Linked DNA regions of Lonchura striata. The protein of the gene in region 1 interacts with the protein of each later gene in a pairwise test. Links are inferred from orthologs where the notes say so. Each region holds a gene or a part of one and is shown on either strand. Other genes may lie near its edges.

Evidence for each region.
Region 2: the proteins of OPRM1 (region 1) and GJA4 interact in binary tests that used the Homo sapiens proteins (3 or more experiments, as listed by UniProt). The link is inferred for Lonchura striata from reciprocal best matches to the Homo sapiens genes OPRM1 and GJA4.

What each region holds. Positions count from the first base shown.
Region 1 is NC_134605.1:55,700,988-55,708,178, reverse strand, and holds the start of OPRM1 (mu-type opioid receptor), read left to right. Parts: upstream 1-4,175; coding exon 4,176-4,495; intron 4,496-4,845; exon of another isoform or gene 4,846-4,881; intron 4,882-7,191. UniProt on the Homo sapiens protein: Receptor for endogenous opioids such as beta-endorphin and endomorphin. Receptor for natural and synthetic opioids including morphine, heroin, DAMGO, fentanyl, etorphine, buprenorphin and methadone.
Region 2 is NC_134628.1:3,686,598-3,693,545, forward strand, and holds GJA4 (gap junction alpha-4 protein), read left to right. Parts: upstream 1-4,609; 5' UTR 4,610-4,636; intron 4,637-5,396; 5' UTR 5,397-5,416; coding exon 5,417-6,448; downstream 6,449-6,948. Other genes in the region: GJB3 (gap junction beta-3 protein), read left to right, coding at 1,711-2,496. UniProt on the Homo sapiens protein: One gap junction consists of a cluster of closely packed pairs of transmembrane channels, the connexons, through which materials of low MW diffuse from one cell to a neighboring cell.

The DNA of each region.
Region 1 (7,191 bases):
TGAGGCCCATAACAAATATTTTATTAGTGCATTCTGAGGATTTCCTAGAAGTATATAACTGTATTTAAATTATCTATTTGAATCTCCTTCCATCAGCAAAAGCTGTTTTATGGCCACATAAATATTTTTCCCTACATTACCATCTGTGATTGGGCAGAGTAGTCAGTCTCTGTGGACAGTATTTCTCCAACAGGAGCATCCTTTGTGTATGCCTAACGCTGCCTTTCTGGCATATTAGAGAAATCAGTATTTAGAGTGAGATTGACAGAGATTACTCTTAAATTATGTGATCTGTATCTGCACACGTGCAGGGAGAGACAGAGACAGCACTAGGTGGGGGAACCTAAATAATTCTCTGCCATGGCTACTCCAGAAGCCACCAGAGGAACCACCATCCCAAAAAAAGACCCATCTCCTCACACAGGAAGGAGCCCCAGGACACAAGGGCGGGTAGGAGAACACCAATAATGTCATCAGAGAAATGAGATCTCTCCCTAGACTGTCCCCAGGCTGTCACAGGGGAGCTTCAGCCCCATGGGCCAAGCACTATAACCAACACCACAGGGGAGTAGTTTCCTGGAGCACTTCCCAGACTGTGGGGTGTCACTGCTAGGGATATGGGACACAATATGGGATTCAGGAGAAGAGTATCTTCGGATTGCACAAAAACGTGTCACAAGATGCTTAAGGGAGGAAGAGATACAGGCAGGAAAAGGGAGGGATACAGGCCAGCCACTGGGTACACTAAGGCTGCAGCCTCAGGGCCCCTGTGTCCATGTGCAAACAGCTGGGATGCAGGGAGCAGCTACTGGGCAAACTGTCTGATCCAGATCCTCACTGGGAGAGCCTTATGGTGTACATGTACACACATATATTCCCACTAGGAGATTTTCACCCTGAACAGCCGGAGAGGGAGCAGGGTGAAGCTGTTGGTGCAATTTGTGTTTCTCTTAGTGCTATTTGTGTCTGTGCTGGTCTGTGGGGCCAGATGTGTGTATATGTTTATGTGTGGGTTCTATAGACCTGACTATTGGGAATACAAACCCAGTCTAGCTATTAGCTGGACCTAAGGGCACAGAGCTGCAGCAATCTCTCCTCTGTTGACCTACTGGATTTGGAAAGCCTAACCAATGACCAGGAATTGAACTTGCCAAATACCTAAGAGCTAGAAAATTGTAAGATTGTATGAACTGAACTGTTCCACTTACTATTGTATTAAATTACATCACACATTAACTTCCTCTAAACCCTTATGTCATTAACTACAGTGGTCATTTTTTGGAACATCTTACACTCTTCTCATTCAATATGTAGCTCCAACTCAGCAAAAGTAAAATTATTAGTTTGTCAAGGATAGTTAAGAATATAGCTAACTATCAAGGACAGCTAATAACTACAGTCCTTAACAAAATGTCATGAATCTGCTTTGTAGCCTTGCCAGATAAGGAAATTGAAGACTATCGTCCAGGTTGGAAGAGACCTTAAAGATCATCTAGTCCAACCATCAATGTGGTCCAACTGACACCCTTCAGACTTGTTATGCAAACACAAAAACTATCACTTATAGCTACATTTATTAAATTTAGAAGTGACATTTTATTTTCTACAATGGCAGAAGAACTCAGAGATTATGAAATTTAAAGTACTTATTTTCAACTAATGGATATAGTATTTGCCACTCTGCAGATTGCCCTTATCTGCAGAGTCACTGTCACAATCTAGAAAGGCAACACGGGTGATCTGTGAATAAAGAAATAATGCAAATGACTAAGACTGCTTCATTTCTATGAAGAAGGAAAAAGCTGAACTACTACCAACAAGAAGTAATTACTGGTCTTCAATTTCACAAACACCCTTTCACCAGAATCTTGGCTACACAGTACTATACTATCTGAAATTATTTGAAGAAAGGGTCTCGCACATTATTACAGCCAAAATGACCTTTACCATCTGAAAGCATTATTCTAAGCACTTATTTCACATTGCCTATGTCCTTTGAAATAAGACTTGTAATAACTTTCCAAAGAGGTGCATTCAACTATCACTCCCCTACCTTGAAAGTTTGTTTAATGAGGCCTGTCATAAACAGGCTCAACTCCCAGGGCTTTTTGCCAGCCCTCTCCTCATCCTAAGTTTTCATCTGCACCTGCCAAAAGTTTGATTTATTTAAGCATAATACTTTTTTTTGTGCAATCACTTTTCTGTGAGCAGTCATAAAGATGTGTATTATAGCTCAATTTACCTCAGCATCTGTTTTTAAGGGTTTTTTAAATGACATTTTAATGTAATTTTTAAGTCATTTTTAATGCACAAAAGGGCCTTCTGATAGTGAGGATGATACAAACCTGGCTATGACACAAGATACAGAATGGATCTCCTGGCAGCCTTGATTTTTGCTCCCCAACTTCCCCATCCCTTCCACAGCCAGACACAGTTGTATTCAAAGGGCTAAATACTAATTGTGTACTTGTGGCTTACCTTAAACTCTTCTGATGGCTTTGGTGCAACAAAGGGCAAGCACAGAGAGAGGCTCCCACACTCTGTGCACATACCCAGAGATTAAAGTCTCTGAGAAAAGCCCAGTTTTAAAGCCTTGTTCCTCCTGCTCTGTGTATGACTATACATGCAGGGGATAAAGAAGCAGTGTCTTTGACCACGTAAAATCTCTGAGTTCTTGCTTTCATTTGTCCATAGCTATTTCCAGAGACAAAAATATCTCCTATTCTAAAGCTCCTCCTAAATGCAATGCTAAATGGGCTCTCTCCTACTCAATGAACGATGATGAAAATACTCTCTCTGGCCATGAAGCAATACATGCTATCTACTGAAAGTGCCCATTAATAGCTTACTTGTCCTTCTCCTTCCATTTTCACTTTAGAATGAAAAAAGGAATACAAATTCTCCAGATCTATATCCCTCTCGAAGTCCAGTGATGCCCCTTTCCCATTCCCTCTTCTTCCTCCCCACAAATTATCAGATAGACATCGAAAGAGTGTGTGGTCAATTCCGCTACTGTTACCTGCCCTGAGCAGCACTGGTTCCCCCTGCTTGTGGCACAAGCACATACTTATACTAAAATGTCCAGGATCTTTCTCTTAGGCTGCAACTTGTTTCTTCTCTACTTTTGTCATTATCACTCTTGAAATAGCGGGAGGTGCTCCGCGCAGGGTGAGCAGAATAAGTGCGCATCCACAATGAGGCAGTGGGAGCAATCACTGCTACTCTGTCACCTTCCTGTTCACCAGGAGATATTTTTTCTGCCTTGCCAGGGAGCTCTTCTGATTTCATTAGTGAGACAGTAAATGAGCTAAGTCCTAATAATCAGCCATCAGGCAGTCCCGCGCCTCTGCACGCATTTGAAACAACTGAACACGAAAAGGTACCGGTGAAAACAAGCGGTGTGCGAACTAAGCACCCAGTAACATTGAGTGCACAGCTTAAGAACGGTTTTGATGTCGTTCTTATTTGTGATATCACATCCGATAACAATCACACCAACCAGGGGAGAACATCCTTGGAGCTCTGAACAGAAGGTCCTCTGAAAATCCTGAGGATCCATGAGATCCGAGTCATTTCTAAAGGACAATTCTGTTCACAACCACCCCTCCGAAAGTGTTGCCCTAAAGTTCGTCACATTTTATTACAAGGTTCTGTTATCTCTATAATCACTGAGGACATCGTTTTGCCAAGATCCCTGTCTTACTACGATAATCTCTCGCGCATCGATCTCCTCTCTGCACCGGCCTTTATCTCGCCAAGTCAGTCTCCGCCGGTTTTGTCTTTCCGGCGCTTGCCACCGATGCCCGCGGCTCTGGGGAACGAACATGTTAAGCGCCTTGCCTTCAAGTGCCACCTGCAGGGGAGGCGCACACCGCCGGCGCTGCCCCCCGCAGGTGCGCCCCGCTCGCCGCTGGGGGCGGCCGCCACCGCGTCCCGCCGGCCTGGGAGGAGCGGCGGCGGGCAGCGGGCGCGGAGGCGGCTCCCGCCGCTCCTGCGGACACGGCCCCTCCTCCCGGCCCGCCCCGCCCGCCTCACACATGTGCCCGCACCCAGCGGCGGGGCGCACCGTCGGGGCGGGCGGGTGCTGTCGCCTCGCCGACACCGCGGCAGCAGCGCGGCGCGCCGGGCGTCCCTCGGGCGTGGGGAGCGGGCGGCCGCGCTGACAGCGCTGCGCCATGGCTGTCGCCTACCTGCTGGGCAACGGGTCCGCGCCGCTCCTGGCCGGCGCCCTGGAGGTCCCGTTCGCCGCCAACGCCTCCGCCTGCCGCCCGCCCGGGCCGCCCTGCCCGGCCTGGGGCAACGCCTCGGCGGCGCTGGGCTGGAACCGCTCCGAGCCCTGCGGCGGCGGCAATGGCAGCGCCGGCGGCGGCGGGCCCTGCGCGCCCACGGGCGGCGGCCCCTCCGTGGTTACCGCCATCGCCATCATGGCCCTCTACTCCGTGGTCTGCGTCGTGGGGCTCTTCGGCAACTTCTTGGTCATGTATGTCATCGTCAGGTGAGTGCCTGCCTGCCCCGCCCCGCTGCCCACGGCCGCTGCCGTCGGGGCGGAACCCCGCCGCCCGGAGCCGGGATGCGGGACGGTGTCCCGGCGGGGATGCTGCGGTCCCCCTCCGCCGGGCAGCGCGCTGAGGGGTGCGGACGGGCGCCGGTCCCCGCGGGAAGGGGAAGGAGGCTTTTGATAAAGAGCCGGAGCGGGTGACGAGGGAAGAGAAACTTGAGGTGGAGCAGTGAGGGCCGGCCGGTCCGTCAGAAGCCGCTGCGCGTCCGAGAATGTTCTAAAGACCCTCCGACCCCAGCTGCCCACCTCTGCGAGTGGCTCTGGCCAACGGGGCCTAAATCCCGTACCTGTGCCCTAAGGAGCGAGGATTTAAAGAGACTGTGGCCACTGCCTGTGAGCGTGTACGGGTACGGGGTGGTACACGGATAGCCGGCACGCATCCACCTGTCTTTCCACCCACCTCTCCCAAATGCACGAACAAAATGTAAATGGCACTGTGGTTAAACGCTTCCTGTGGCCGTGTTTGGAGATCCTCTGCCTCATATCTAGATCTATATGTGTATATTGAAATACATTTATATATGTGTATAGACATACATGCGTATACACGTGTATAAATACGCATGCAGTGATGCGACCGCTTTCTGTAATCCCGGCGTTCCGGCTGTGCTGCGGCACTTCGCAACTTTCTCGCCCGCAAGAGAAAAAGCCCCAGTGGGGCTCTTACAAATCAGATCACGCGCGATAAATCCATTGCCCGTAAATGAGCGGAAAACGAGTGAGAGAGATGAACAGAGGCTCCCTTGCCGGCCTGGCCGCGGAGCCGGCAGGTGGCATCCGTGGGGGAACACTGCCACCTCCCGGGAGCGACGGGCCGGGGGCGCGACAGGACGGGCCCGACTGAGCTCCTCTCCCTTCGCGGCTGCTCGTCGTTTCCAAACCAAGCATCCCTTGAGCCCTGGAGAGCTCAGCGGGCGCTTTTAAGGGAGGAGATAGGGGTAGCCCAGGGGCGCTCTCCGTTCCTATGGAGGCAGCCCCAGCACTTCCATTTCTCCTCCTCGTCCGGAGCGTCCGTTCTGCCTTTAAGCTCTGCGTTCCCCGAGAAGTCGGGCCCGCAGGAACCGGGGCTGTCTCTTGGCATCCCTGGTGCACCAGCGGCAGCGGGCGGCTTTGTGGCGTGTGTGTGCAGCGCAAGCTGTGCCAGCTGTAGAAAGCTGGGGCTGAGGGTCGCGGTCACGGTGGGGTATTGCAGCAGCATGGAGGATGCGGCACGTGTTAGGGATGTCACTGCACAGCCTGTGCATCTGGTAGACCCAGTGGGAACACAAGTGATATCCATCAGTGGTTCAGTCTAGAGCAGTTCAGAAGCCTTGTAGGTTTAACTATGCTTTAAAGGCTACATACACAGAGCTGGGGAGATTCTCTTCTGTCTTGTGGTTTTGGTCAGTCTGAAACTCAAGCTGTCTGTGTGAGGATACATCTGCAGAAAGGCTTCTGAGTGGGGGCATGACTGCAATCACTGTAGCAGTGTTGAATGCATTCCTCTGGGAGGAAAAGCAGATGCACAGTGTAACAGAGACAGGATAGCTGTCAGCAGAGAAATATGCTCCACCTTGCCCCTGGAATTATGTATTTATTATCCTGGGCATAACCCTTACTAGGTTCATATTTCTTACAGTAATTAATTGAATTACACTTGCACCACAAAGCCAAATCTAATGAGGTACTTGTATTTAGATTCCTATCTAAAGAAAGCCTTTTTCTCTGAGATGACAGCTTACAAACAAAAGCCAGAAGCAATAGCAGAAAGCAAAAATATATTTTCATTTTACAGAGGAAAACAAAAATTAAGTGGCTTGTCCAAACCATCAGGATTGTTATGGCAAACCCCACATCTCCTTTGCAAGAACAGCTTTTGGTGTGACAGAATTTGTTCCCAATTAACACCACACAGCTGTTTAGCAGTTAGGATGACAAGGAATTTACATGCTAATGGCTGAATAGGATCTGTGGCTCAAGCAACATAAAAATACATTCTCTTTCTGTGTTTCTCTGCACCTGTCGTGTATCTGGTCAGCAATACAGGACTTAGTGATTGCATTTCCTGCTGCAAGCTATACTAGCTTGAAAGTGTTTCAAATTAGAATATGAGCCTATGAAATGGTGACCCTATATGTCCACATTCGTGCCTCCTTTCATCCAACTACATGTAAGAGGCCAAAGTTTCACTGGATTGAATTTGTCACCATATAGAACTCCCCTTCATTTGCCTTTCCCATGCCTGCTCAGGAAGGACAAAACATTGATCTTCAAATTAATTGCGAGGGAAATTGAGGCTACTAAAAATTAACATTTTTGAATAATATTGGTATCTAGTTTGTCTTGAAAATACTAGGAGTTGGGAGGTAGGTGCTTAGATGTTTGAAACTGTCCTACTCACCTTTCACCCCAGTGAAAGCAACAGTGACTTCAGATCAAGTGTGCTGCATGCTAACATCTCATGCTTGGTTTCTTTGGAAATAGTTTTAAAATAATTATATCATTCTTATAAATATTATTACTCTTAAAAATTTTCCACATGAGGCAAATCCAGGGGTTTGGAGCCAGAGCTGTGCAAGTGCTGGCCTGAAATGGAACTATCATTATCACTCGACAATGTCACCCTGCTATCTCTGCTGGGGCAAACAGAGGTC
Region 2 (6,948 bases), on another chromosome or scaffold:
ACCCGGCTGTGACGCAGTGGGTTGGCATCCCGGGGGCTGGCAAGGGTGCCGGGCTCTGTGGGAGGCAAACCAGCACTGCCGACACAGCTGAGCACACCTGAGCACTGCTCCTGCTCTGCCCGGCTGCCACCCGGCACTGGGGAGCCCCGGGGGCTCACGCTGTGTGCCACGGGGACTGGCACGGAGCTTGGCACGGAGAGCACAGCTCCTTCCTGCTCCGCTGCGGGTCCATGACCGGAGCCGGCGCTGGGCTGAACCGGGCACACGGGTGCTGGGCAGGTGGGTTTTGGGCAGCTGGGTGCTGGGTTGGTCTCACTGGCAGCAGGGATGGGGTCATGGGTGAATTGGCAGGCTGGTGAGGGGGCACAGGCTCTGGGGGCATGGAGGTTCCATCCACGCCAGCTTTTATGGGCAAACCAGTAGTTCCCCTCTCCCAGTTTTAAATCCAAGGGTTGGGTGGGAACACAGTGATTGCTCCCCACCCTGACCCCCGCCAAGGATTTGCCAGGGAGGAAGATCTGCTTTTAGACGGGGCAGTGAGAGAAGGTGTGTGGCCATGGGCAGAGGCACAGCCCTGGCACTTGGCACACGCTGCCAGGGACCCCAGCCTGGAGCCACTCAGCCCAGCCACCCTTCCCAGTGTGTCCCTGGGACAGAAGTGTGGGAGCACAGCCACAGGTTCGTGGCTTGCTGCGGGTGGCCGTGGGCAAGGACAGGCTCCCAGAGTGCTCCATGGGCTCTGGGCAGTGCTCCAGGTTCTGTTCCGTCCCCACAGCCCTGGGACACCACAGTGCACCGGATGAGAGGACTCTGATCACCAGCCCGCCATCGCACCCTGGCTATGCCCCGTGCTGGACACTTCCCACCCCACAGCCCCCGGTGAGCGGGGAAGGAGCCTGAGCCTCCTCCAGGTACGTCTCAGAAGGCACCGGGTGGGCAACAGGCAGCGCAAATTCCTTAAAAGTGAGAGCAACCCAGTGTTCTGGGAATCCCTTTGCAGGGCAGGCACCTTCACAGCCCAGAGGGTTGTAAAAACCACCTGGGTTTGTAAATCCAGGTGTAGTAAAGCTCCCGGTCAGGCTTGGCGTGTCTCCTCACACAGGGCAGCCCCAGGCTGAGCTGCAGAGCCGGTTTGGCCGTCGGGTCCTCCGGCGTTGCTGCCGGAGCAGGAGCAGAGCGCTGGCCAGGGTGACATGCTGGTGACACACGCAGACTGTGACACACGCACACTGTGACACACACAGACTCTCACTTTCTGTAGCCCCGCTGTCACCTGTGTTTGGGCTGCCTCAGGTATCACCTGGGAGACACAAAACAGGTCCCTGGCACCCCAGCTGGGAGAGGAGCAGCCATTTCCCCTTTGGCTGATGATCCTGGCCTGCTCCTGCAGAAAGTGCTGCCAGTTTGCACCAGCACACACAAAAAAAAGAATCAGGCACAGAGCTGGTGGCAGGGACTTGGCCAGGTGGCTCATCCCTGACAGCAAAGGCTCCGTCAGAAGGAAGTGCAGATAGACTGAGTCACCTCTGCCACCAGGAGTGTGGGAGGATGGGCTTTACTGTCTGCAAGGGTGAAGAGCCCCCGTCCTACATGAGTGTAATGTGGTGGGGGAGAGGGTTGAGTGTCAGCGAGAGATGTGCAGCCCAGTGGTGTCTCCCACTGCTCCTTCTGCCTCTCCAGGTTGGGTGACTCTGGTCTCCCTCAGCTGCCATGGATTGGAAAACGCTGCAGGCGCTGCTCAGCGGGGTCAACAAGTACTCCACAGCCTTCAGCCGCATCTGGCTCTCCATGGTCTTTGTCTTCCGTGTGCTGGTTTATGTGGTGGCAGCCGAGAAGGTCTGGGGCGACGAGCAGAAGGATTTCGATTGCAACACGCGGCAGCCGGGCTGCACCAACGTGTGTTATGACCACTTCTTCCCCATCTCCCACATCCGCCTCTGGGCCCTGCAGCTCATCTTTGTCACTTGTCCTTCCCTCCTGGTCATCATGCACGTGGCCTACAGGGAGGACCGCGAGAGGAAGAACCGGGAGAAGAATGGAGAGAATTGCCCCAAGCTCTACAGCAACACGGGCAAGAAGCACGGCGGGCTGTGGTGGACCTACCTGTTCAGCCTCATCTTCAAGCTTATCATAGAGATCCTGTTCCTCTACCTCCTCCACAAGATGTGGGACAGCTTCGATTTGCCACGGCTGGTCAAGTGCGCCAACGTGGATCCCTGTCCCAACACCGTGGACTGCTACATCGCCCGGCCAACCGAGAAAAGGGTCTTCACCTATTTCATGGTTGGAGCCTCCTCCATCTGCATTGTCCTCACCGTCTGTGAGATCTTCTACCTCATCTTCAAGCGAGCTGTCCAGAGGGCAAGGAAATGGAGGAAATCCACCAAGCGCTCCGTCAGCTACAGCAAGGCCTCCACCTGCCACTGTCACATGAAGTCAGAGGAGAAGGACAACAAGTCCCAGCCCAGGTGTGTGGCAGCCCTAACTGCTGTCTGAAGGGTGCTGGGAAGAGTGGTGGGGGAAAGTGTCCTGGTATGTGCCAGGGATGGTTGGAACCACGGGTGACCACCAGACTCTTCAGCCAGGACCTCAGTGGCTGTAAGGGGAGGGGGACACATCCCTGGGAACTCTCCTGCTTGGGATCACGGGCACATCCCTGGCTGTCCCAGGGGTGTGGACACGCTCGGTGGCAGGTGGGTGCTGGCTGTCCATGGCCATGCCTGAGTGTGTCCGTTCTTCCCACAGAGGAGAAGAGCTGTGAGCACACCCGTCCCAGCCGGTTCACATTCCCCTCAACTTGGCTTTTCCAGCCTGCCAAATCCTCAAACCCTCAAGAGTCAACCCATGTGAAAAATGACTAAACCCAGTGAAGTAATGTCCCCGGAGAGAGACCCATGGGTGCCTGAGCAGACACAGGTAAGGCAAGGACAGCTCTGGAGCTCTGCAGGTGGCAGTGCCACAAACATGGACATCACAGCAGCACACAGACCCTCAGTGTCCCGCAGCTTCTCTTGGGTCCTGCAGCTCCTCTGCTCCCATGCTGGGTGTGAGTGCACCCAGCTGGTGCCCAGCCAAGGGCTGGTGTCATGCCAGTCCTCCCAGCTCACTGCTCCTCACACATGCGCTGCTTTCTTACGTGCCAAGAAACCAAAGGAATTCTGGGCTCCGTGGCCAGGGCTCTCTTCATGCACCCAAAGTAATGACAAAGGACCAGGGCTCCAGTCTGTTAGCAATTGTTCTGCTGGCCCAGTTTGCCCGGTTTGCCATTTCTCCCCCTTGGCTCACACAAGCACCAAGCCATGTTCTGCCCAAAAGCCCTTGCTGGCTCTGCTGCTTCCCTTGGTGCCTCTGTGTCCCCCCTCACCTCAGATGCACATCACACACGGATCCAAAGGGCCAATAAATGTCGTGTTTGGAGACACCAAGATCTGCTCTGCACGCTGGAAACTGGGGGCCTGGTGAGGGCAGAAGACGTGGATTTGCAGAGGTTCCTCAGGAGCCCACAGCCAGGCCCTTCTCATCCGCCTGAGCTGGGCATTGCTTGAGCCCACAGCCGAGCTCACGTCCGCCCGTTCCGCCTCTCCCAGCCTGTCACGCGTCGTTAAACTTTAATTCAGCAGAACCTCACGCTGGCCCCCAAGGAAATCAAGGAGGGATGAGCATCAATTATTTACTAAACCTTGATAAATATTACAATAAATAGAAATGATTTCCATTTAATCTCTCCTTAAGCAGCACTAGCGGAGGGTCCGCTGTTCCCAGCTCTGCTCAGCCCGCCCGTGTTTCCGAGCCCCACGAGCGTGTTGGGGCGTGCTGAGACCCCCGACAGCAAAGCTCTGCCTGGAACCTGCGTGGGAGTTCCCGGCCGGGCTCCGGTGGGGCTCATCCCGAGAACCGACGGGACGCGGGATCGCAACTGGGCTCCGGTGGGGCTCAGCCCGGGAGCCTGCGGGACGCGGGATGGGGGCCAGGCACGGTGGGGCTCATCCCAGGAACCGGCAGGGCCCGTCCCGGGAACCGGCGGGACGCGGGATGGGGGCCAGGCACGGTGGGGCTCATCCAGAACCGGAGGGATGCGGGACCGCAGCCGGCTCCGGTGGGGCTCCAGCACCACCCAGCGCCCGCCGCGCCGCACGGACCCTCGGGGGCAAACCACGAGCGCCGCAGCCGCGGTCCGGCCGGGGCGGAAAAGGACGGAACATCCCCGGGACACCGGGCGGGGAACAGAGCGTCCCCGAAACGCCCCGCCGGGCAGGGAATTAAACATCTCCCGGACACGGGTCAGGGGACGGAGCATCCCGGGGTCTCTGGCTCAGCGGGTTTGCCCAGTGGCGGACCCGCAGATGAAAGTGCGGGAGGCAGCCGGGCTCCACACCGTTGCCCCCCAGCTTCGGCCCCGACGGGTCTGGCCGCCCCCGCTCCGCCCGCCGGGGCCGCCCCCTCGTCCGGGGGCCACGGGAGGGGGCGGCCCCGCACACCTGCGGCTCGGCCCGGCCGGTACTAAGCCCCAGCCCCCAGTTTCCTGCCCACGCTCCTCCTCCGGCTTCCCCGGGCCCCCAATAACCGGAGCCACCCGGTCCGACCCCTCGCACTCAGCGCGGCCCGAGCCCGGCGGGACGTGCCCGGCGCGGCGGAGGTGAGAGCGGGCACCGGGCTGGGGACGGGGCACCCCGCTGCCGGGGGTTCCTTTAACCGCACAGCCGGCACTTCTCTGCTTAATTAGCAGCGGTTAATGAGGAGCCGGGGCTGTGGCCGCCCCGTCCCTCCTCGCAGCCGGGCTGAGCGCCCGCGGGGTGCGGGCTCGGCTCCCCAGGATCCCGGGAGAGGCAGCAGGGTGGTGAGCGGTGCTCGGGATCTCCTGGCGATGGGAGGGACTGGGGCTGGGTGTCCATCGCCCCGCAGCAAGGGAGCCGGTGAGGTGTTGTCCGTTCAGTTTGGGGTGAGCCCTGAATCGGCTTTGGGGCGGCAGATGTACCCCAAGGGGTTGTGCTTTCCCTCTAGACCATCCTGCTCTCTGCTTTTTGGGAAAGCCAGGGCAGCAGCAAATTTGTGAGCTCCCATAGTGCCTCCTCGCCCTGAGCTCCCAAAACCCCACTGGCTTCAGGCTGTCCTTGGAGTGGCCAGGAGAGCCACGAGCTGTGGGTGCTGCTGGGAGGGGAGAATCCCTGTCTCTCCCAGCCCTCGGTTCCTGCACTGTGTAGGAGGAGCCCTCTGGGGCTCCTAAACGCTGCCTGGAACCCTCCCTCCCTCAGAAGTGGGATGTTCCTCAGAGGGTTTGCTGGGCCAGTCTGCAGAGCAGCTATATCCTGAAAAAGCACGGAGTTTAAGTGGTCACATCTGCCCTGTGCTCCCCAGCATGGAAACAGGGAACTGACGTGTCTTCTCTCTGCTGGCAGAGGCAAAGGCTTCCTAGAAGATGGGTGACTGGGAATTCCTGCAGAAACTGCTGGACCAAGTCCAGGAGCATTCGACGGTGATCGGGAAGATCTGGCTCACCGTGCTCTTCATCTTCCGCATCCTCATCCTGGGCCTGGCCGGCGAGTCTGTGTGGGGGGACGAGCAGTCGGATTTCGTGTGTAACACCAAGCAGCCAGGCTGCACCAACGTCTGCTATGACAAAGCCTTCCCCATTTCCCACATCCGCTACTGGGTGCTCCAGTTCCTCTTTGTCAGCACCCCGACCCTGATTTACCTGGGCCACGTTGTCTATCTCTCCCGCAAGGAGGAGAAGCTGAAGGAGAAGGAGAGCAAGCTTCGGGCTGTCCACAGCAAGGACCCGAAGATTGAGGAGGCCCTGGCAGACCTGGAGAAGAAGATGTCCAAGATCTACATGACAGAGAGTGGGCGGCTGAAGATCCGGGGGGCGCTGATGTGGACGTACATCACCAGTGTCATCTGCAAGAGCATCTTTGAGGCCGGTTTCCTCGTGGGCCAGTGGTACCTGTATGGCTTCTCCATGGTGCCCCGCTACGTGTGCAAGAGGGACCCGTGCCCCCATCAGGTGGATTGCTTCATTTCCCGCCCCACCGAAAAGAGCATCTTCATCATCTTCATGCTGGTGATGGGCCTGATCTCCTTAATCCTGAACCTCCTGGAGCTCTTCCACCTCTGCTGCAAGAACCTGCTCAGCAACATCAAGAAGGTGTCGGGGCCAGCTGGACCGAGCCAGGACACCTTTGTGGATGCCATGGTCTCGAGTCCCTACTCACCCAAGCACTATCCCTTCCTGCCCATGGCCGAGAGCCACGCGCCCTCCTACCAGACCTACAACAAGCTCTCCAGTGAGCAGAACTGGGCCAACTACCGCAACGAGGAGAACCTGGCACTGGGCAGCGGCAGCAGGCCCCTGTCGGACCCCTACGCCCCCGGGCCTGCTGAAGCCTCCGCCCCGGAGGAGAAGCCGGGCAGCCGGCCCGGGAGCTCAGCCTCCAAAAAGCAATACGTGTAGTGCCGGGCTGGCCCGGCTGGCAGGGGGACATCCCTCAGTCCCTTGTGCCTGCAAAGGTGCTGGCTGCGGGCAGGCAGCTGCCTCCTGCCTGGTTCTGAGCTCTACACATTCCCCTCTGGAGGCTCCGGAGACCTGCCCACCCTGGGATGGGATGCTCGGGAGCGCGGCCGTGGAGCGCAGCCTCCGCTCTCGCCGCTTTTCCCTACAGACCCTGCAAGGAAGGAAACTGCACCGAGTTCCCCGGGACGCCGTGTCCCGTGTGCCTTGCCGTGGGAAAGGGAGAAAGCCCCGGAGCCACGCCGTGGAACAGGCTGTCCCCGAGGCCGTGGCTGGAGGCTGCTGGCCACTGGGAGCTGCAGTTCAGCCAGACCCCAGAGCCACGGCCAGCACGGAGCCAGGAGAGCGGCCGTGGGAAGCTGCTCCTCTCCTGCCTCCTCACGGAGCCGGGGACTGCCGGGAAGAGCTGGGCTGGGGCAGCGCCGACTGATCCTGGCCAGCAG